Linked DNA regions of Coturnix japonica. The protein of the gene in region 2 purifies or fractionates together with the protein of the main gene of each other region. This does not show direct contact. Links are inferred from orthologs where the notes say so. Each region holds a gene or a part of one and is shown on either strand. Other genes may lie near its edges.

Region 1 (10,797 bases), on a different chromosome or scaffold from region 2:
CATCTGTGGTTACCATAAAGATATTTTGTTGAGATCGAAGACTTCAGCCACACCCATAGCTTCCTGTCGTCAAGATGCACAGGATGTGACTAAAGCCACAATGATCGGCTAATTGGGATGGAGGCTGGTTTTAGCCGGCCAGCATCACCACCTGGAAGGGATCCCAGTTCCGTGCAAAGTCAGCAGCTCTTCCACAAAATAAATGCATTCCTGTTTCCTTCAAGTGATCCCAACCCCTACCTGCAGAGGGGAGATGTTCAGGTCAAACGTGGGCTGCTTTTAGAACAAAAGGGGTTTCGTTTTATAGTCTGACTTTTGTTTAAAAAGTAGAGACATCAGGGCCCTGACAGCATCCTCCTGTGAAGATGTTAAGGCAGCAGTCAGACCACACGGCACAAAAGGACACCTGCTTTATTGTGAACGTCAGAATCCACTAAGGAGTTCAATGTGAATGCGTATGCAGGAATAAAATTAAAACTCAAAGGTCTCAATTAACATTGAATTATTTACTATTCTACAGCAAGTAAAAACAGAATTTCCATCCAACATAAAAGCACTAACAACAGCACCATACTCTCCCATGACTGAAACAGAGAGCATCCTATCTGCTCTGCTCTGGTGAGCAGCACCTGTACCAGCAGCGCTAAGGTCAGTCACTGCAGGCCTTGCTGGAGGTTTGGAATGAGGTGAAGGAACAGCTCAATCACAGCACAGCTCCTGGCAATACGTGTCACAATGCACTCACTGCTTATTTATGGCCCTTAGTTTTCTCAGGCTTGGGCAAATAGAACTAACAAATGAACTCAGAAGTTGTATTTAAACTCCAAGTGTACAAAATAGCGGCCTCTATCTCAATGACTGTGTATGCAAACCACAGACACCTAACCCAAAAAGCTTAACACAAACCAGCTTAATATTTCACAACACACAGCTAAGTACCTTTCTTTGCCACTCTACAGCAGAGCAACATCTGCTGCCTCACTCTTTTAGCAACTTCTATTTGATTTGAAGAATAAGTGAATAAACAAGACACTGGCCAACCAAGACAGCAATCCTAACGCCAGCACTGCATGCAAGATTGAATGAGACAATCACTTTATTTCTCCTGTGAATTCTAGAAGGTCTGTAAAAATGAGTGCAGGCAGTAAACTTCTGCCAAGTAATTCTCTATTCCTTTGTAATGCAAAACAATGATGGACACTTTCTACAGTCTTGATATTCCCCTCAAATTCAATTTGCAAAAAACATTAGCAGCCTTAGATATTGAATAGTAACTGAAAAGGATGCTGGTTCCCTGGGAGAGGGATTCAGGAGAAGAGGAAGTGCTATTTTAATAACAGCAGTGGACCAGAGAGAAAATGAGGACAGGAAGGGGCATCCCCCAAAGAATTCTGTCATCATCATTTCACAATATTCAAGGTATCTTTGTGCCTTAAACTTGGAATTTTAAACACTCTAGGAAAAAAAAAAAAACCTTCAGGAATGTACAAGAAGTCAAATAAATCAGGAAGACCAGATGGGTTCCTCTCTATATTGGAGATCCCAGTAGAAGAGTAACAGTAATAATGCACGAAGCTGACCACTTACAGAGACAATCTTCAACCCTATCCATAGGAGCAAGCTGAATTCATTTTGTACCACTCCAGCAATTAGAAAAAGAAGTAGGTTGAAGCCGTTCCTTTACTAGTGTGTCTGAGAAATGAAGCTAATCTGGCTGGTGGTAAATTCAAAAATTGTTCAAACTTTTTGTTCAAATAACCCCATCCCCAGCTGGGCACAGTGCTGTTAATGCAGTGTGCTATCAGCTGGAAGGCTGGGCAGGAACATGTGTCAAACCAAAGAGATGTACTTCAAAACCAGTGAGCAAGGACTCAACACCTGCACTGGAAGGTATTTCCTATATACCCTGCAGAAATATCCGAGAGTTGCTCAACTGATGACTTGAGCTCTGCTATTTGTTCTTTAGCCAGGGATAAACTACCTGCTTTTTCCACCTTAACGTATTGCCTAAAGAAAGAAGTCTACAGTAACAACTGTGTTATTGAATGCTGGTGTAGTGTTTAAGGGGCCCTAAGTGCAAAGGAAAATGTTATCACTGCTCCTTCCATGCTCTCAGCAGAGCCATGCACAAGGCCTCTGTAACTCATGCCAAAGCCAGACAGGTGAGGTTATTATGCTGTTAGTCATCAGGGTTGCCTTAAACTGAGCACAGCCCGGGAGCAACCACAGAGCAGCACTGTCATCAGATCTTGGGAGGCAGCAGCTTTACCAGAGGTAGATTTGGAAAAGGGACATCAATCTACAGCCTTGTCTGTGTCGTTATCCTTACACTGTACAACCTCAAGTACAAACTTGCTCTGACTTACAAACGCTCACTTCTGTTATTTTAAGCTATGCCCAAAATGACACCGCTGGGATATCTTTCACTCCATCTGATTACAACGAATGCGGTGAGTAAAAACTAATTAAAAGGAAGGAGTACTAACACCAGCACGACTGATTTCACAGAATACTGAAGAGAAAGCTGCTGGTGCTACAAGAAGCAATGTGCATCAGTCAGATTTCTCACACATCACCAAAGCACTGTAATCAGAACTAGGTGACAAGGCTAGCAAGGCTGACACTTCCAATGTGTTCTGTGCAAGGGAACGCTTTCCATTTTATATTAATGCTATCGTAAGAACACGGGGAGTTTCTTTCTTTGTGAAAGCATTCCTCAATAACCTAAAGCAGTTATTAAAATGTCACAAAAACCTTCTCACCTGTAATGCTCCAGAGATTGAAGCATCAACAGCTACACTAGAGGCAGTAACAAAGGAGTCCCCAGTCTTCTGTCCTCCCATAGGCCATAGAAACAAGTGAAGAGGGCCCTCCTGCCACCAGCAGTTTCTTTTCTACTGACTCCATAAGCCAATGTGGCAGCAAACAGGACATGAAACACTGTGCATTCCACACTTGTTCTTCTGTCAGAAGCGCAGGGACAGGCAGCATGTCCTGAACAAAGCCAGTACCAAGGAGACAAAGGAACAGTGCCTCTGAACAAGTGTGGCAGAGATGTCAGGGCAGTAACAGCTTGAAACAGAGCGTGCTTCACAAAACTTGTTCCTCTTGTACTACATGAGAAGTGAACTTTGACCACAGGTTTTTCTTTTGACCCAAAAGCGAGCTGTATCAGTAACACACTGCCCTCCTACAAGCACGGTGCTTAGAGAAAGCTGAAGGAGTTCAAACAGTCCGTACAGCTGTAGCAAGTACACGTTTGGCTTGTTCTCATTGGCAATTAGTCCCAGAAAATCTGAGACCTGGTGTTAAAGGTGGCAGGTAACAGGAGGAAAAAAGCCACCACTGACAAGCAACATACCAGAAATCAGCAGGGCCCAGGAACACTTATATTAGGGAAGTTAGCAATGGTGACAGACAAAATAGCAAGTGAGCTCACAAACTTTGTTACCGATCAAAAGCTACAGAGACAAGGTGTCAATCGAGGCTTCTGGAAAAGGGTTTAGTGATACAAGAACTTCATTCAGTTAAGGCATTTCTAGATGGCAGCACCATCCATGCAGTCAGCAGTAAAACCTCAGGAAACTGGGTGCTGTGTTCAAACCCACTCGGCCCAGCTCTTCCCAGTAAGACATTCCCAGACATCTCCACACAGAGGGAGATACAATCTGTAATAACCAATGGGGATTGCATCCACCAGCTCTGCTCATCCCTGTGTTCCATTCCGGATCGCCAGCCCACCTTTCCTGAGCTGCACATCACAACAGCCCCATCGAGACCATTTCCCACAAAGGATGGGAAAGAACAGCAGCCTTGTTCTAAGTGGGCAGTGGAAAATAACCTCACCTGGCCATAAAGGACTTCCTTTCTCCTGTACACAGACAGCAGACAGCGAACAGTTCAGCCTCAGCAGGACAAATGTGGCCAATATTATAAATGCCATATACTTGAGTAAGGCACATATTTATAACAACTCTTCAAAGCTAACAGTTAAGAAATACTTAAAGCACATAAAACCTGTCACTGGTGTAGCAAAATTAATAGAAAATATTCACATTAAATTCTTCTAATTGTCACTCAGACTTTTTTCAGGTCTGTGAAAGTCGCTATTATTTGTGGCTACAAATTATTCCTGGCTCTAGAAGACATTTCTACCAGGTACCATCACCAAGGTAATAAGGCACAACACAGGATGCACTGAGAGTAACTGCGATGCATGAATGGCCACACTGAGTTACTGTGCTGCACTGCACTGTGTCTGCAAATAGCTGTTGTGTTCTTCTGCTATCAATACTGAAACACAACAGAGCCCTCAGGCTTCGTCTTACTAGACACACACGAAGCCTCAGAAGATCCAGAAATACCAGTCAGAAGATCACCTAATAAACAGCATGTTATGGGGAAAAGCCTTCACAAGAGGGATTACTTTTTTCTATCGTAGCTACAGCTCAGAGCAGTGAGGAATGACAGCTTCTGTCAGATAGGGTCTGCACCCATCATTTGAAACAGTGACTATGTTTGACACCACCCTTAACATCTAAGCTCTCTATGGAAAATCATAACCTTTGGGTGTGATTGCAGACAATAATCAAAACACGAATCATAATTCAGTACTGCAGAGAGCTGGTGCTGGAAGCCTGGGAACAGGATAAATGAGGAACCTCTGCAGACAGGCACAGAATTCAACTAATGCCCTGCTTTGGGAACACAGCAACCCATGGGGGGGACAGGACAATGGAAAGCTTGACACAGCATCTCACCTACCACTAACAGGGGCTGGTAAATCCACCAGTAGTTATCACCCTTAATACAAACAGCCTGGATGTACCTCACAAAGTGTTGACCTCAACCGAGTAATAGAGAGGGAGCTTTATCTCAAGCACAGTGTCATGCTGCCCAAAGACATTCCACCTTTGGTCTGGAGCTGGCTCCAACTTGTGGCAAACCATCCCTGCTGCTCAGTGGTATTCTCACATCAGCCTCTCTCCTGTCCTTGCAGCCTTTCATCTCAATGCAGCAGTCGAACAGGCAGCTTTCTGTAACCTAATTCAACTCCTTCATCCAAACAATTCCTGCAGCTCATCACCTATCATTCCTCCAGCCTCTCCAACAGAGTCTGCTGCTCCTACAGAGCCCACCTGCCTCGTGATTCCTTGCCTTGAACCTATCAGAATCGTTTCAGGTTAGAACAGCTTTTTCTTTCCTAGTGTCATGAATCTATTCTGGTGATGAACATTACACGCTCAGCCAGAAATAGACTAATTCAATTCTTCATTAGGAAAAAATGAAGACACCTCCATCCTCGCACAGATTATGAACAGGACTATGGTGCCTTTTGTGCGGTTTCTATTGGCATGTCTACTGCTCACCTATCCACAGCATCCACTAAATGCAAAGAATTTCATTTATTCCTCGGGTTTTTACAGATTGCCATACAACCACATTAGAAATACCCAGCCAGGATTCAGCCCTTCCATCAGCACATCAGTGATGGCAAATGGGACACGAGGAAAAAGTCAGAGTGCTGGCACTAAAGACACACAAGGGAAACAATCCCTAACCTGCTACTTGCTTGGAACACCACGTTAAACACACAAACTATATCTAACGGCTTTGATTTTGAGTTGCTGGAATATGAGGCGACTGAAATGTGGGACACAACAAGAACCTGTATGGCCAAAAGCACTGCAAGTTAATTCTAAGTCCACATACAACCCTCTGGAAACAATCTGCTTCTAAACCAACACGCTGTACTATTTGAAGGCATGGTGCCAACCTTAAAATACCCCTGTTTCCTCCTGTGATAGGCACGCAGCCTTCTTTAGGACCGAGGGCATCAATAACCTCCATACGCATTGATTTCTAGATCCCTCCCCCAAAAAAGGCAATTCCTTCAATCTAAAGGTGCACACAAATAAAACCTCCAGTAATTGAAGGGAAAATAATGGCTCATGATGGCTGAGGATTTAATTCCGCTCAGAAACAGACTGTAACCGGACAATACAACCGGGTACCACTGCAGCTATTATTCCTTTAATTCCTAGAGCACAGTTGCCGATGTGAAGCCGCTCCTACACTACACACACAGCACATCATTGTGCTGCGCGGATCCCCATCAGTCACCGTAGCAATAAACAGCGACACGAGCTTTATGTCACTAAGCGCCATTTTATTCTGGAAAAAAAAAAAACAAAAAACAAACCCGACTCCCCAGGTCGATCTAAAATTCCGCTTCAATTAGAAATAACCGCGATCCTATATTTGTATGGTAAATGAATAACTGAATAATCCGCCGTGCTCACAGCAGCTCGGAGCCCCGCACCGCGCCCTACGCTCCCTGCCCTACACGGCCTCCCCGTGTCACCGCACAGCACCGCACGGATGGCGGAGCGGCAGGGCCGGGCCCGGCGGCGGCTCTCGTGCTCTGTGGCGGCGGCTCCCGGCAGCGGCGCCATTTTAGGAGGCGATGAAAAGGCGGGAGGCGGGGCCAGGCCGCGGCAATGCCCGCCGAGGGGCCGCGGCTCATCCAGCGCCGGGCAGAGCGAGCAGCGCCCAGCGGAGCCCAACAGAGCGACCCACCGAGCCGATGTGTGGAGCCGACCCACTGCCCGGCACCGCTCCGATCCGTCCTGCTCACAGCCCCGTGTGCCCAACCCCGGAGGTGCCGCCCCGCCCCGTGCCGCCGCTCCGCTCCCCACGCCGCGCCTCACCTTCTCGCACAGGCTCTTCACCTGCCCCTCGGACAGCTGCTTGCACTCGTTGAGCTGCTCCACCCACTGGTCCAGCTCCTTGGTGAACACCTTCTCCTCCATCCCGCACGCAGCCGCTCGCTCGCCCCCTCCTCCTCCGCCTCCTCCTCCCCCTCACCACCAGCTGCCGCCGCTCCCCCCAAAGGCCCCAACGACGCGATCCCGGTGGTCGCGGCTCAGCAGCGGGTCGTGGAGCTGCGGGCGGAGCGGCGCCCAACGCACGGCAGCGAACAGAGCGCTCCGACCCTCGCTCTGCCCGTGTAATGGCCGCCGCTGCTGACGTCACGGCCCCACTACACTGCGGGGAGGGGACGGCGCCGCCATGGGAGGGGACGGCGCGTGCGCAGTAGGCTGGACGGACCGCGCATGCGCGACATGGGCGGGACCTGCCCGACCGGAGAGACGGAGCTCTATGCTGCGCATGCGCGGCGCATGCTGGCTGGGGGGAGCGGGGCTTGCGCGCTGTGAGGGGCTTCGTGCGCATGCGCGGGAGGAGCTGCGGGTCATGAGCTTTTCCCGCCCGTGCAGGGCGCGGCTGTGGGCGGGTCTGAGGGAGAGCGGTGGGGAAATAGGGGGTAGCGCTGTACAGTGTGTGGGGTACGGCTTCATGGGTGTGTGGGGGAGCGGGGTGTGACACTGAGGGCGCAGTGCTGAAGGACGCTACTTTGCAACGCTGGAGGCCTTGGGTTCGAATCCCCCTGTGGCGCAAGTGGTAGCAGTGCCGCTCTGCAGCACAGAGGCTCCAATCCCGGGGTTGGACTCGGTGATCTCTAAGGTCCCTGCCAACCCGCACCGCACTGTGACACTGTGACGCTGTGCGGTGTGTGTAACGTGTATTGCAGTGGTCTTCATCCTAAATGACGGGGCTGCCGGTGTGGCATTTCCTTACAGTAACTTATCAAGCGTGTGAAATATCAGTTAAAAGAACAACAAAATCAATAAAGTGGGTCAGAATTTGGCCCAATGTGCCCTTTTGGAATTAGCCACTTACCAAAGGCTTCCTGCTTAATAGGAGTCACTTGTCTCCAGCCGGGTTTGCCTTGCAGTGAGTGGAAAGGGTTAAATTCTTTGCTTGCTATTGAGGCAAAGAAACAAAATAGTGAGCAAAGGGGAAGGAATGTTTGCTGTAACCAGTCGGTCTCGGTTCCTCCATGTCATGCTCTCTCTATAAGATGTGCATTTTTTTGGCATGCCTTTCTTCAGGGGCTCTATTTTGCATCCTCAGATGCCTCTGGTTTTGTATTTTAAAGCTGTAAAAGGAGAGGTGTTATCTGTTGAAAAATGGCAAGAATCTGCTCTGTGGCACTGCTTCATTGCCTCCCAAATAATCCTGAACAAGCAACTGGAAAGAACATAAGGCAATAATCCTCTCTTATTTAACTAGCCAAGTTAAAGACCGTATTTAGCTTTTGTTTTCATAGAGATAGAGGAATTCCTGGTGAAACTCAGGTTCTGAATTCTTTCTGATTTTTTCTTTTTTAAATTTCTTAAATTAAAGCTTCAGTAGCAGGAAAATCTTAACTTGCTTATGAAACTGCAACCAAAGTCCTGTGACGTATTATCTGATATGTGCAGAGAAAACACGTGTAATGTGCACTAGGCAGTGCTCCATGCGGATTGCAATAGTGATTGCTGCTGTCTTTAAAGCAATTGTGGTGGCTCCCAAACCTGCCATAGGTTAATGGGAGCCTGGTGTTAGGGTTACTCTGCTATGGAAAGGTTCCTTGTTTGAAAAGGCAGTCATAGCTCTTAGCTATCAACTCAGCATCATGAGGTAGGGGATTCATCGTTCCTTGCTCGCAGTTGAAGCTGTGCCGTTGACTAGAAGAGAACTGAGGACTTGGCACAGCAGTATTTTGGATCCAGTTATTCAGGTGCTCACATAGAAGGGAGACAATTGGAGTTCCATCTAAAACAACCTGCTCTATTCTTTATCCCTGTGTTGTCTCAGCCCATAAACTGCGTTCGGATCAGATGTCAGATCTCTTCCTCCTTCTTGAGAGTCATAATCAATATCTCAGTGAATTGTGGTTGCTTCTCTCCCAGATAGTTATCAGAACCTTCAAAGGAGAGGGAAATAATGAAAGAATACCTGCCACATTGCATCAGCTGGGGGTTTGGCAGTCCCTCAGGTACATGGCAAGGTAGGAACAATACTTAGTATTGACTATTTGTGCCAGGCTGCTGTGTGTGTATGTGTGTGGTTTGTAGCTAAGGAGATGTCCTGGGTGTGGGTGCTGTGATGAGTCAAGGGTTGTCCGTGCTGCCATGTGCAGTCCTGGCTCTTGAGTCACTGCCGAGCGTCTCATGTTGATGGCATTTCTTAGGAAGGGTTACTGCCAAAGCTGTGCTCACACACATCACATGGATGGAGTGTTCAGCTGGTTCTGTTTTCCTTACAAAACCATCTACAGTAGTGCAGACTAGTACGAATCTCCAATCCATTCACATGCATGTTAGCAATTGCAACTGTTTTGTCACTTACTGCAGTAACACCAGCGTTTCCTTCACAGTATAAGACATCAGTGTTTAAACTATGCAGGTTTATATTGCGAGGCATCATACAACAAAGTGAACACAGTTTTGATTGGCCATTACAGTCTACATGCACTCTATGTGAATATTTTACTAGATCCGAGTTATCTGCCAGTGCGTATCTGAAGAGTCTGTTGCTATGGTGTTCAGTGCTAAGTGCAGAGCTGGAATACTATGCTGTGTTATCTAAAGGTGCTATCTCAGAATTATAATCCAGGGTTAACTTCTTGGGTTAATGTGTGAGTTAATATTAATGTGGGTTTTTTGTCAGCAATGAGTGCAGAAGTTGATGTTTCACTGTAGATGTCATCTGCCTCTGGGGGCAAATGGGCTTTCCTGATCAAATTAGGCCAAAAATACATGTTTTGTGTTGAGACATCAGCCTCTTCCTGCAACAAAATACAGTGTGTTCTTTGTCTCATTGGTCCCCTTCGGTTAGATAAGCTTTGTGATTCTTAGCAGAATGATTGCAAAAGATGGGAGCTAGACAGAAAGCTATTTGTGTCGGATATTTGGTACGTCAGCATGAGCAAATGGAACTTCTTTCTGTTTGACTCACTCCAGAGTCCACGCAGTATGTCAGCGATTTTATCATGCACTGATTCCACCCGTAAATGGCTTCTGTGAAGCGCAATGATCAATAAATACAGATACTTCATAGTCAAATGACCCAGGGAAAAGTTGTTCTGAAAACACTGCACATCACTGTAAGGTGTTAAAATCTTTAGGGCACTTTGCAGGTGCTGCCATGCCAGGACAGACCTTTAGCTATTGTTGCCAGACAGACAAAGACATGATTTCAGCCCCACTGAGGGGCTAGTAGTTAACATGACAGAAGCATTTAGAGTCAAGTTCAGTGGAGACTTGGGGGCATGCTTAAATTCCTTCCTTTTAAACCAATACTGTAAACATCCATGAAGTGCTCTGCTAAGTTTCTGCCATAGGACTCGAGGCTTTCTGGTGCTCCTGTCATGCTCAGATCAGCACAACTCACATCACAAGGGTTTTGTTTGGGAAAGCTTTCCTTTTCTTGAGCCTTTTGATTCAATAAACTATGTTTAATCACTCAGAAACACAATGCATAATTAATACATGCAATCAGTTGTCATGGAGATGTAAATCAAGGTTTTTATTGTCTTATCTTTGCTTCTTGTGCCGGGATACCATGGAGTAACCACTATCTCTGCCTTCTAAATGATTTGCTTTGGGAATCCAAAAAATGCAGGACTTGTAAGAGGTGCTTGTGTTGTTTTTTTTTCCCAAGTTGCAACATCATGGCAGAGGATTGCTCCGCTTGTTTCTGTGAGATCTCTCACACAATGTGACAACTGAATTACGGCTAAAGCCTCTGCAGGATGTGTTTAGTCTCCTCATGTTAGTACACAGACTCAAGGGAAAATGTGGAAACTAATCCAAAAGAAGGCAGCTGGCTTACATGGCTCAGGAACCTTCGGGTTGATTATGAGGACTGGGTGTTTTAGTTAGTTTTGTTGTTTGTTTGTTTTTTTAATGA
Region 2 (10,367 bases):
AAATGAAATAATACTTAGACTTTTTAAATTATATTAAATAAATAAGTTGCTTGTATACACGGATGTGTATTAAACACATTTGATACACACAAGCAATAAATCATGCACATGACTCCAGAGCTTTAGAAAATGTGTATCTAAAATATAAAGCTCCATATCATTATCTGTAATAAATGAAGGCAGCACTGCACTTCCAACTAGCATAGAAATAATCGTGTGGCTAAACCAGAAACTGCATTTGTTAAAAATACTTTAGGAGAAAGGAATATAAAGGAGGTACTCATTATAGAAACAGGAGGTTTCATTACAGACTCATCATAGAGATTCACCTGGACACAGAACACTTTAATATTATTAGAGAAATAAATAATACTGAGAAGCGCATTACAGAGACATGGCGTACAAACACAGACTGAAAACAATTGCTTCTGATGATGGTGAAGTCCAGACATTCCTGAAAATCATCATCAAGATTTTAGACTCAATCTGGTGAAGAGTACAAAAATATCTCCTACAGTCATTGCAAGTCGCTTCGGTTTTAAAGGCAATTAAAAAGTGGGAACAATCATTCCTTAACATTTCCACAAAGCAGAGTGAGAAATTCAGGAAGGAAGAGAACTGCTACTGAAGGTCTGGGCAAGGGAAACATGGGCTAAAGGAAAAATCTTCCGATCTAATTAAACCTAGGAACACATAAATAAAGACAGCTGAATGGAAACACAGATTATTAGAATATAAAGGCTAAGCCAACAGGATTTCTCACCAGCTGCACTTTCACTGATATACCGTCAGCGTACAAAGGTTTGTTTTGTTTTACTGAGACGTTGACTTGCAAGGCAACATTTCCACAGATACACATTTTCCGTGCATTTTCCACAGATACACATTGTGGACACAAGAGAAAACAGCCTGCAGAGAAACTTCCACAAAGCGGAATGTAATTGCCAAACAGATTTTAGAACAACCAGAAACGTTTAAGATCACTGGAAGAAACTGTCCTACGCTACAACCACCAGATGTTTACAACACTGAAGAGGACATTAAATACATAACCAAAAAACAACTGCCAAGAGCACAAGAAAAGGTGAAGAGTTTAACTGTGTATGACAGGAACTCCACATATCATAAGGCCGAAAGTAGGGATAAATCCTACTTCCTTTTGGAACTGTGGCCCCTTTCCCAAACCTTACAGGGAGTAGAGCCTGCTGTGTCTGAACTTATTTCAGTCAGAACAAGTGCAAAATTCTGTTCAGAAGCTCCAGGACTGATGTTTGATTCACCATTATGTGCAGAGCAGACCATGTGCCAACGTCTCTTTCAGACAATAAATGAGGATTTATTTCCGCTTATGGAAATGGAGCAAAATTTGATTTTGCAAGTCACAGCCATTATGATCCTCTATTCTTGTTTGTAAATTAGGATAAAGTATTAACTTTAGATATTTTATTAATAGTTAATTGATATTTGTAAAGCATTCCAAATTTCATAAAGGGAGACTGGTATAGAAACGATGAGCAGCCAACTCTCATGCAAATCAACAGAAAATAGAAGCTTTCCTCCTCTACAACTCAGACAGTAACTACCATTTTCCATATGGCCATTTCTTTAGACTTAAATATTTTTAATGCCTGATAAAGAGGATTTCTTTATCAAATCTATTTGAGAAGGAGGGTACACATCTTGCAGTTCTCACTTAACCAAAAGTCTTCTAGAGTTGGAAGGATCTCTGACTATTTAGGAAGTTCAGCACTGGGCCTACAGATAGGATTCATAAGAAAAGCCTATAATAAAATCACACCTATAGGGAAATAATATAATAATGATCAAAAGCAAACAGCAAGTGAAAGATTTTCCCTAACTGACTATGCAGCTCTCTTTTGTTGCCACTACAGCAATTCTTTAATGCCATGGAAACTATCTGATAAATGTATAAGAAGCTCAATAAATTTCATAATATTGAGGTAGCGAAGCAATTGGTATTGTTGACAGAGAACTTCTCTTCTGAGCGACTCTTTTAAGAGAGAAAAATTGCCTAAAATAAAAAATTATAGTTTGAGCTGAGGCCTGTTTGCAATAAAAATAAACCTGAAAGTCACTACACAGCATTAGAATACTGGAAAATGTGGGGGAATGACAGGAAACAAGAGGAGCCCCTTGAAATGATAAAAATGGGACCTATTGCTTTAATATTTAACAGTCTTTCTTTTGTACGGTTTGCTTTACCTTATTATGCATTTTTAATGAGGATTAGGAGGATGTGAAGAATATTGTGAATCACATGCTAGTTTTCTGCCCGATTCTGTTCAACATATATATGTATATATATGTGTGTGTGTATATATATGTTATATGTATGTATGTATATATGTATATATATGTAATCTATATGATCTTCGCAGTCACCTGCATGCATGTCTTCATGCTCTGGGCAGTCCCCTAACATGACAGATAATGCCAGAAACAGAAATGGACTCTCTGTTTTTAGAGCTAATAATGAAATTGGTCTGTTTGCATGTGCTCAGTATTACAATACAGGATTTATTTTTTCCTACCAGCGTTGTATCCCTACTGATCTTCCTCCAAAGACTTGTAAGTTAAGAGTATCTACTGAAAATGAAAGTAAAAGAAGCCTCGGTAAGTACCACCCCTTTCCAATGCACATACAATATACAATACAACCTTTTGACACAGAGACATGCTTTGAGGCATGCCACAGACTTGGTTAATAAACTCTGCATGGATGTGCCTAAGGCACAGAGGTGAATGTTGTCATCCCAAGATAAGGGCTCTTCACCAGGGCTGCCACAAACCAGCTACCTCAGGGACCTGCCAACCCTACCGATACCAAGAGCCTCCCTAAAAGTTAAGGCAAAATGGAAAGTTTTGTAACACAGGGCAGGACATACCAGAAAAGAACATGCAAGTACTAAAGTGCATGTGAGATTTAAACCTTTTTACAAGTACATATATTGAAAACGCAGGCCAACTGTACCATAGCTTCTCTTTGCAATTCTTGTACCATCCTGCTTGAAACAAAGGAGGACAGACTGCTTTTGAAACATGAGATTCAACATTAGTCACATTATTGAACAACTCCAAATTATCACAGAATCATAGAATGGCTTGGGTTGAAAAGGACCACAATGATCACACAGTTCCAACCCCCTGCTGTGTGCAGGGTCACCAACCAGCAGCCCAGGCTGCCCAGAGCCACATCCAGCCTGGCCTTGAATCCTGCAGGGATGGGGCATCCACAGCCTCCTTGGGCAACCTGTTCCAGTGTGTCACCACCCTCAGTATGAAAAACTTGCTCCTAATATCCAACCTAACCCTCCCATTTAGACAAAGCACAGTAAATAACAACAATTAAATTATCAGAAAATCAGACCGCAGAAGAACAGAGGACACAAAAGTCTTCACTGCATGAGGAGTGGTTTTTTTTGGCTTGGGGCATTGGAGAGTTTTAATTCAGCCCAATAGGGCCTCAGAAGGCTCCTGCATCTCATAAATACATTAAATGTTTGTTCACAAAGAGCTAAACAATACACACACATACGTTAATTAAAAATAAAGCACACAGTAACAACCTCATTCCCCTATAAGTAGCATAAGCTCCAATGAAAACTCCAGTTCCTCTCACTGCATTTCCTAAATGGCAAGTTATCATTCAGCCTTGTACATAACACTGAAACACATTCTGTCTCCTATTTCTGTTTCCTGAAACATTATTATCAAATAAACTACAGTCCCGACTTATCTGTTCTTGCAATACAGGCATGTATGTCCACAGAAAGGAACAGACTGCATTAAAACACTACCAAAACAAGCCATTTCGCTGTATGTGACTCTGCCCCTGGGGAAAGGAATGAGAGCAGATAAGATGTGACAGATGCGTAGTCACGTCACTTAATACACAACTGGAAGGTGCTCAAATCATTATGCTGACAGGCACACTACAAAAACTTGCAAAGAATGGACAAAGCATTTATCTAGTTTGCTGCATACTTTATTCTTGTAATGAAAGAAGGTGCTGAAGTCCACACAGCTGCTCCTCTGGGAGAAAATATAGGCTGCAACTATCAACATGAGATGTAGTTCGAGGGGAGCAGGAGAGGGGAGTGGAAGAGAAGAGCATGGCATGTGTGGTTTTGTCTGCAAAACTCTTCCATCACAAATATAAAATGTTTAAGGTCAAATTCAAGGTCTGTCCTCTAAAAATTTCCTGTCCTGAAATATTTTTAAACAGGTTTAATGAAACTTGAAACTTACCCAAAACAAGAAGTACACTTAGCAACTGGAGATCTCCAAACTGATCTCGTTATTCATATAATAAGAATAAAATAGGAAATCACGTGGTTACTGTATAAAGTAATAGGACTAGTTGCTTGTTGGAGGGTAAGTGAAAGCCTAAAAGTTTAAAGATTAGGACTTTCAGACAACTGCCCAGGAAAAGCATGAAAAATGCAGATGAAATATCACTTCTTTCAGGTTAAATAATCCTAATTGTTACAATCATCAAAGTAGATCAAGAATAATTCTAAATAGCAGCACAATTTTTAACTGTTGGTGTCCCTTCAGTAGCGATCAATACCGCTGCTGTTTCAGATGCATCATTAGGCCCAAATCCTGCAAAATGATCTGTACACAGCCCTGTGCCTACGGGAATCCGCATTAAGTCAAAGGGGGAAGACCAACTCGCAGGATCAGATTCTTAATTTGAAGCTGGACCACTGTAACTCATTATGACACTAATCATAAATATCTCAGCAACGCTCTCTGTGCCCCATCTGTTTTATCTTATTATAGCTTTATATCTCAATCCACAGGACTAGCTACAGCAGTCAAAATAAACACCTGTGTTTCTGCAAGACCACGTCCTCAGGCAAAGCCAACATTTTTCTTCTGTCTGTGCACACACCTACCATGTTCCCTGAACAGGACTATGCAATATAACCGAATCATTTAAACATTTATTCAAATACAAACCTAAGTGTTCTTTGGTAATGAAGCCACTTAAGCCAAAGGACAAACTCTATTTACCGAAATGTAACAAGTTGTATTTTTAAGGGAAATGATCTGCATCTCAAAAATGAACTGCAAAAATAGACAAATGGGATTTTAAATGACTTTAAAGGAGCATTTGCTTCTTCATCTTACTTTCACTAAACAACTAGAAAAGTTCATAGAAGAAAATTCACTACAAACCAGAACACCAAATCCACTGACACACACACTGAAAAATGGTGAGTAGTGGAAGCACTCCAGGCCCATCTTGCTCTTCCAGTCTCCTCTATGCTTCCAAATCAGCCCTTGCCAGCTTAATACAGCAGGGTTAGATGGTCCTTTGGACCTTTCTTTTGAGCAAGTACGTTTATTTGTACATACTCACATGCATTCCATAGAAAGAAGTCTCAACTATTTTAATGACAACTCCAGCAGAACAAATCCTACAATCCAAGTTTAATTTAATTTAAGAGATACATGTAAGCTGTGTGATTATTTTCTTTTTTCTTTTTGCAACTTGTCTGTTTTTTATGAAGAAGTGAGGTTACGAACCAAAGCAAAGTGCAATTACACATTCATTACATATTTCAGTACTGATTACCAGATTTATCAAACGAGTAGAGGAAGAGATCTGGGAAATCTACATGCCCACAAAGCAAAAATGAACAGGCCTAATATTAAACCTATTCATCTTTCTATTTTCCAGAATAATCAGCACAAATTGTGCTTAGCTCCATTCGTTGTAACAGAAAAGAAGAATGGCGATGAAAAAAACCCCCAAAACTCAGTAAGAACTCAGTGAAAGGAAACACTTCTAGAAGGTGATTCCTTCTGCCACACCAAACGTAATTCTGAGAGAAGCTGCTGGCCCCTGGATTTGTACTGAAATTCAGTGCCAAACAGGATTTAGAGCAAGCATTCGAGATATTAGAGAGATACTGTCAGCCTTTTAAGAGCTGTAAGCTGGATCATCATTTCCTTTCCCAAATTAGAAGTTAAATTTTCCCGCAGCAACTCAACTGGAGCAGGGATATGCAGGCTGTCCTCACAGTAATGTCTTGCCTAAGACCTGATCTTTCCTCTCGAGATGCTGCAATGCATGGCACCCTTCAATTCCAAAACCCCACAGAAGCCAGGGGCTGCGTGCAGGTTTCCCCATGCTCACAAGGCAGCTTGGCCTCACCATACCTACTGCTCAGTTCATGTATCTGCTGAGTATTCACAATCTAAAATCCTCACACACAGCCTGAGTGCCTTGAAAATTCAAGTCATCATATGGGTTAACATCAGCATTTAAAACTTCCAGAAGTATTGCAAACAATTACCACACCCTCATGTCACAGATAAAATATTCTGTAGAGCTCAAATACATACATTTCTGGCATGAAACATTCCTCATTACTGGCAAAATCTCCATGCAACCTCTGGCAACAGAACACTTTGAGTTTAGAAGTCAACCGGAGAGTAAAACTGTTTTGACTTACGGTATTTAGGTATTTTTAATTAAAAATCATTCCTGAGCTTACCTTTCAGCAGAGGCAGGGGAGTTAACTCGATAGGCTTGCCCTGAGACCTAAACTGGGAGGAGCTTTGTGACCTCTTCTGTCTGGCTTTTCTGACGGACTTCCGAGAAAATCCGTCTACTTTATCCACTGATGGAGGAGTTGTTGGTGCTGAGGACATATCCCTACTGAAGGAAAACAAGTGTTACAAATACATTCCAAAACTGGTGAAATGGGTAAAGATTAACTGATATTTTCCAACCCCCTTGATCTGTCTTCACTGTTCTCCTTCTGACAGCTCACCCAGATAGAGCATTCGGAGAGATAACCCACCAATACACATGCAGGTCTTATAGAATAAATAGTGCAATTTCTTCTCTCTCCCTTGTTTTATCTGCCCCACATTTACCAAAAACCCTACAACAGGAAAAATTCTGACCTAATGATGACACCATTATGTCAGCAGAACTTCATATACCTGTGGACTTGACTAAGGGCTGAAGCCTTGACTACGTGTTACATGAGAAAAGTAACTTGAACTCATGCTGGAAGGCATTATACAAGCTAAATGATGGGTACTCAAGAAGGCATGAACATCTTTTTCACTAGAGAGTCATCAAAGTGCATGGGACAGAAGAAAAAGATCAGTATATTTACCATACCTACATACAAGACCTAATAGCAATATTAAAAAGTACCACTAAAAGTACTGCCGTGCTTCACTATTTCACTAGAACTGATGAAATTTCACATACTGCTCCTTTACTCTCCATTTCAGACATTCTGTTTTTGTATGGAGTCTCTCAACACACAGTTATTCCATGTTCTGGTATTTTAGCAATAAGAGCAGGATGGCAGCCATAATAGTTCTAAGGGCACAAGCCAGACGAGGTTTGCAGAGAGGCAAAGAGCCAAACAAGGTTTCTGCAAGCCAAAGTTTGTTTGTTTCCCAACTCTATCAGCTGGTCTGAGAAATAAGCATTGCCTCTTCCTATAACACATGCCCTGGTAATGCTGCTGTAGCTAATTCCATACTATTGAAAAATATTAAAAGGAAGATTTAAAGAGTGGATTCCTGCAACCAGCTCTTGTATTTAGCAGCCTGTGTTGCCTGTTAAAAAGGCACATCACATCTTGGTGCAATACATGAGTAATACTTCAGGAAAACAAGACAGGAGGAATTTCGGCCTCCATATTTCAAGCAGCGCTGCATACAGTGAACTTCACCAGCATGCGCACCTCTATTATTCATGTCAGTAAGACCATTATTAGGCAGAGCACTCCGCCAGTTTCAATAGGGCCACACACTCGTGCAAAGTTAAGTATCGGCATAAGCACTTGCAGGATCAGGGTCTTAGAACATGTCCTTGGAAAGCATTACTCATCCTCAATGTCTGTTGACTTCAATTACCGAAGTGACTCGCCGGCTAAAAGAAGTTGATTCCCCACCATGGAGAACACTTTCAAGTGCTTATTTTATTAAAATATTTGGTTACTCATACGCTGCATAAATTATTGAAGCCATTGAAAGAGACATTATTTAGATCTGCCTTTTACAAGAGGAGCTTTAGAAAGTACAATTTAAGGCAACTGTAAACAAGTGCAGGAAGAAAAGAACCGTTCAATGCGAAATTATATATATATATGCTCACTAAACCTCTCAGAAATGGAAGTACAAACCCCACAGCTTCTCCAAGGCGGCATGTGCAGCACCAGATGCTGAGCTGTGCAGCTGGCATTACCGTCAGAAGAAAGCATTACACCATCTCTTCTATTTTTCCTGAGGTCCCCTCCACCACCAGCTTATACTTCCTAAATATAAGACGCTGTCGGCAACGTGATACAATCCCTTTACACCGGGTTTATTTGCTATCCAGGGGGAAAGAAATGCCCCCATCAGTGGAGCATCCAGGCCCCAGCTGAGATTAATACATAAAAAAGTCTGAAAAACTGAAATAGAACGGCCTGCGCTCCAGCACCCGCTTCTAAGGTTCCAAAGCTCCGCCAAAAATATATATAAGCGCAAAGTTACCTGTTACATAAACCCAAATTAGGGGAAATAGCAGCAGAAATACACAGCTAAAAGCCGGATCCGTTGGCCTTGTTTCATCTCATCCAAAAAAGATTCCTCTGCCCGTCACGTGTGCGGCTGAAGTGTAACCATCTCTGCACTCTCCCTCAAGATGAAATCACCAAAATAATAACAACGCTAATAACAACGGGCAGCCAGCACAGCGGATGGCCCAGCTGCAGGATCTCACCGGCACCTCTCCTCCAGCTGTAAATTTAGTAACATTTTCCCCTCACCTGCGTTATAAATTATTAAAGCCTCGTTCTAATTCCACAAGGCTGCATCCAGCCTGACAACCCCGTGGTAAACACCGATCCCTATTTATTTTTATTTTTTTTTTTTTCATCCTTTCGAATGAGCCTGAACGCGCTGTAAGGGCGAAACACACGATTCCAACCGGGTGGGGGGGAGGAAAATAAATAATAATAATAATAATAATAATAATAATAATAATAATAATAGATTATTGGGTGTAGGAAAGCTGAGGAGCTTAAAAGCTGTTTCTCCCAATGAAGGGTCGTATTCTCGCAGAATGGAGCACAGGGAGGAAGGCGAAGCCACGCACCCCACATTGAGGGGGGGGTGGGGAGGGCGGCGAGGCGGGGGGACGTGAAAATAGCGACGGAGCGAACCGGGAGGGCCCTGGGCCGCCACGCCGCCATCCGCCGCCTCCCGCCCGCTGCCATCGGCTGTCATTATCCGGCGGGAGCCCCGCAGCTGGAACATGTCCTCCCGCAGCACTCTCACCGCCCCCCCCCCTTCCCCTCCACCCCGGGGCCTCCTCCTCCTCCTCCTCGAGCCGCGATGGAGTTACCTTGACCCTCCTGGTTGAGAAGCCGAAGACGGGGGGGAGGCGGCGACGGCCTGAGCCGGGCTCGGCGGAGCGCGGCCGATGCCTGGAGCGCGGTACGCAGCAGCCTGTAGGCCTCGGCGGCGTTGGCGGCCTCCCCGGCGCAGGGCGGCGTTGGCGGCGGCTTCAGGAGCGGGCGGCTGCTCGGGCTGCGCTCAGTCCCATGCACTCGGCGCGGCCCCCTGCCTGCGATGCCCGCTGCCTCACTCACATTCCCGGCGGAGCCCTGCGGAGGGGCCCTGAGGAGGCGGCGGAGGGGAGGAGGGGGGGGGCGGAGGGGGGGGAAGCGGGGGGGAGCCGAGCCGAGTCGAGGCGAGGGGGAGCGGCGGGCGCGGTGCGGGCGGCGCCGAGAAGGGAGGGAAGGGCTCTTCTGCTCGAGGCTGCCTCAGGTGAGAGACGGGATCCCGGTGGGTGTCGGGGTCGCGCTCCGGCTCGCTCCTATTGTCACTCTCAGCGGGCTCCGGCCATGGCACTCGCTCGCACACACGCACTCACACACACACACATACACTCCCTCCCTCGCTCACTCACAACCGAGCGTGCTGCCACCGCCCCCCGCCCGCTGCCCGCCCCTCCGCTCCCGCCCACCCCAGCGCCGCCGCCGGGACGCGCCGCCTCATTGGCGCCCGCCGCTGCCGCCGGGACAGCCGGGAAAGGAAGAGGAGAGCGGCCGGAGGAGGAGCGGCTGGTGGCGGCTGGAGCAGCGGCAGCTGAGCGCTATGGAGGCGGATCTGCTTGGCCATCCGCGGGCAGAGCGGGAGCGAGACACATCGGCTGAGGTAAAAGCCCTGAAATCCGCGAGGTAAACCATCCTATTGCTGAGGTAAAAGCTCATATTCCTGAGGAAAAACCACGTAATCCTGAGGCGAAACGTCTCACTGGGCCCTGTATGGGGTTCGGAGCCCCTTCACGGGGCGGGCTGCGGGCGGGTCGGCCCCAC

What was found.
Region 1: the proteins of PPP2R5E (region 2) and PPP2CA purify together in Homo sapiens (affinity purification with mass spectrometry; 8 studies listed by BioGRID and IntAct, with this or other methods). This does not show direct contact. The link is inferred for Coturnix japonica from reciprocal best matches to the Homo sapiens genes PPP2R5E and PPP2CA.

What each region holds. Positions count from the first base shown.
Region 1 is NC_029528.1:2,277,008-2,287,804, forward strand, and holds the start of PPP2CA (serine/threonine-protein phosphatase 2A catalytic subunit alpha isoform), read right to left. Parts: upstream 7,031-10,797; 5' UTR 6,813-7,030; coding exon 6,711-6,812; intron 1-6,710. UniProt on the Homo sapiens protein: Catalytic subunit of protein phosphatase 2A (PP2A), a serine/threonine phosphatase involved in the regulation of a wide variety of enzymes, signal transduction pathways, and cellular events.
Region 2 is NC_029520.1:48,476,431-48,486,797, reverse strand, and holds the start of PPP2R5E (serine/threonine-protein phosphatase 2A 56 kDa regulatory subunit epsilon isoform), read right to left. Parts: upstream 9,987-10,367; 5' UTR 9,392-9,986; intron 6,695-9,391; exon of another isoform or gene 6,692-6,694; 5' UTR 6,688-6,691; coding exon 6,531-6,687; intron 1-6,530. UniProt on the Homo sapiens protein: The B regulatory subunit might modulate substrate selectivity and catalytic activity, and might also direct the localization of the catalytic enzyme to a particular subcellular compartment.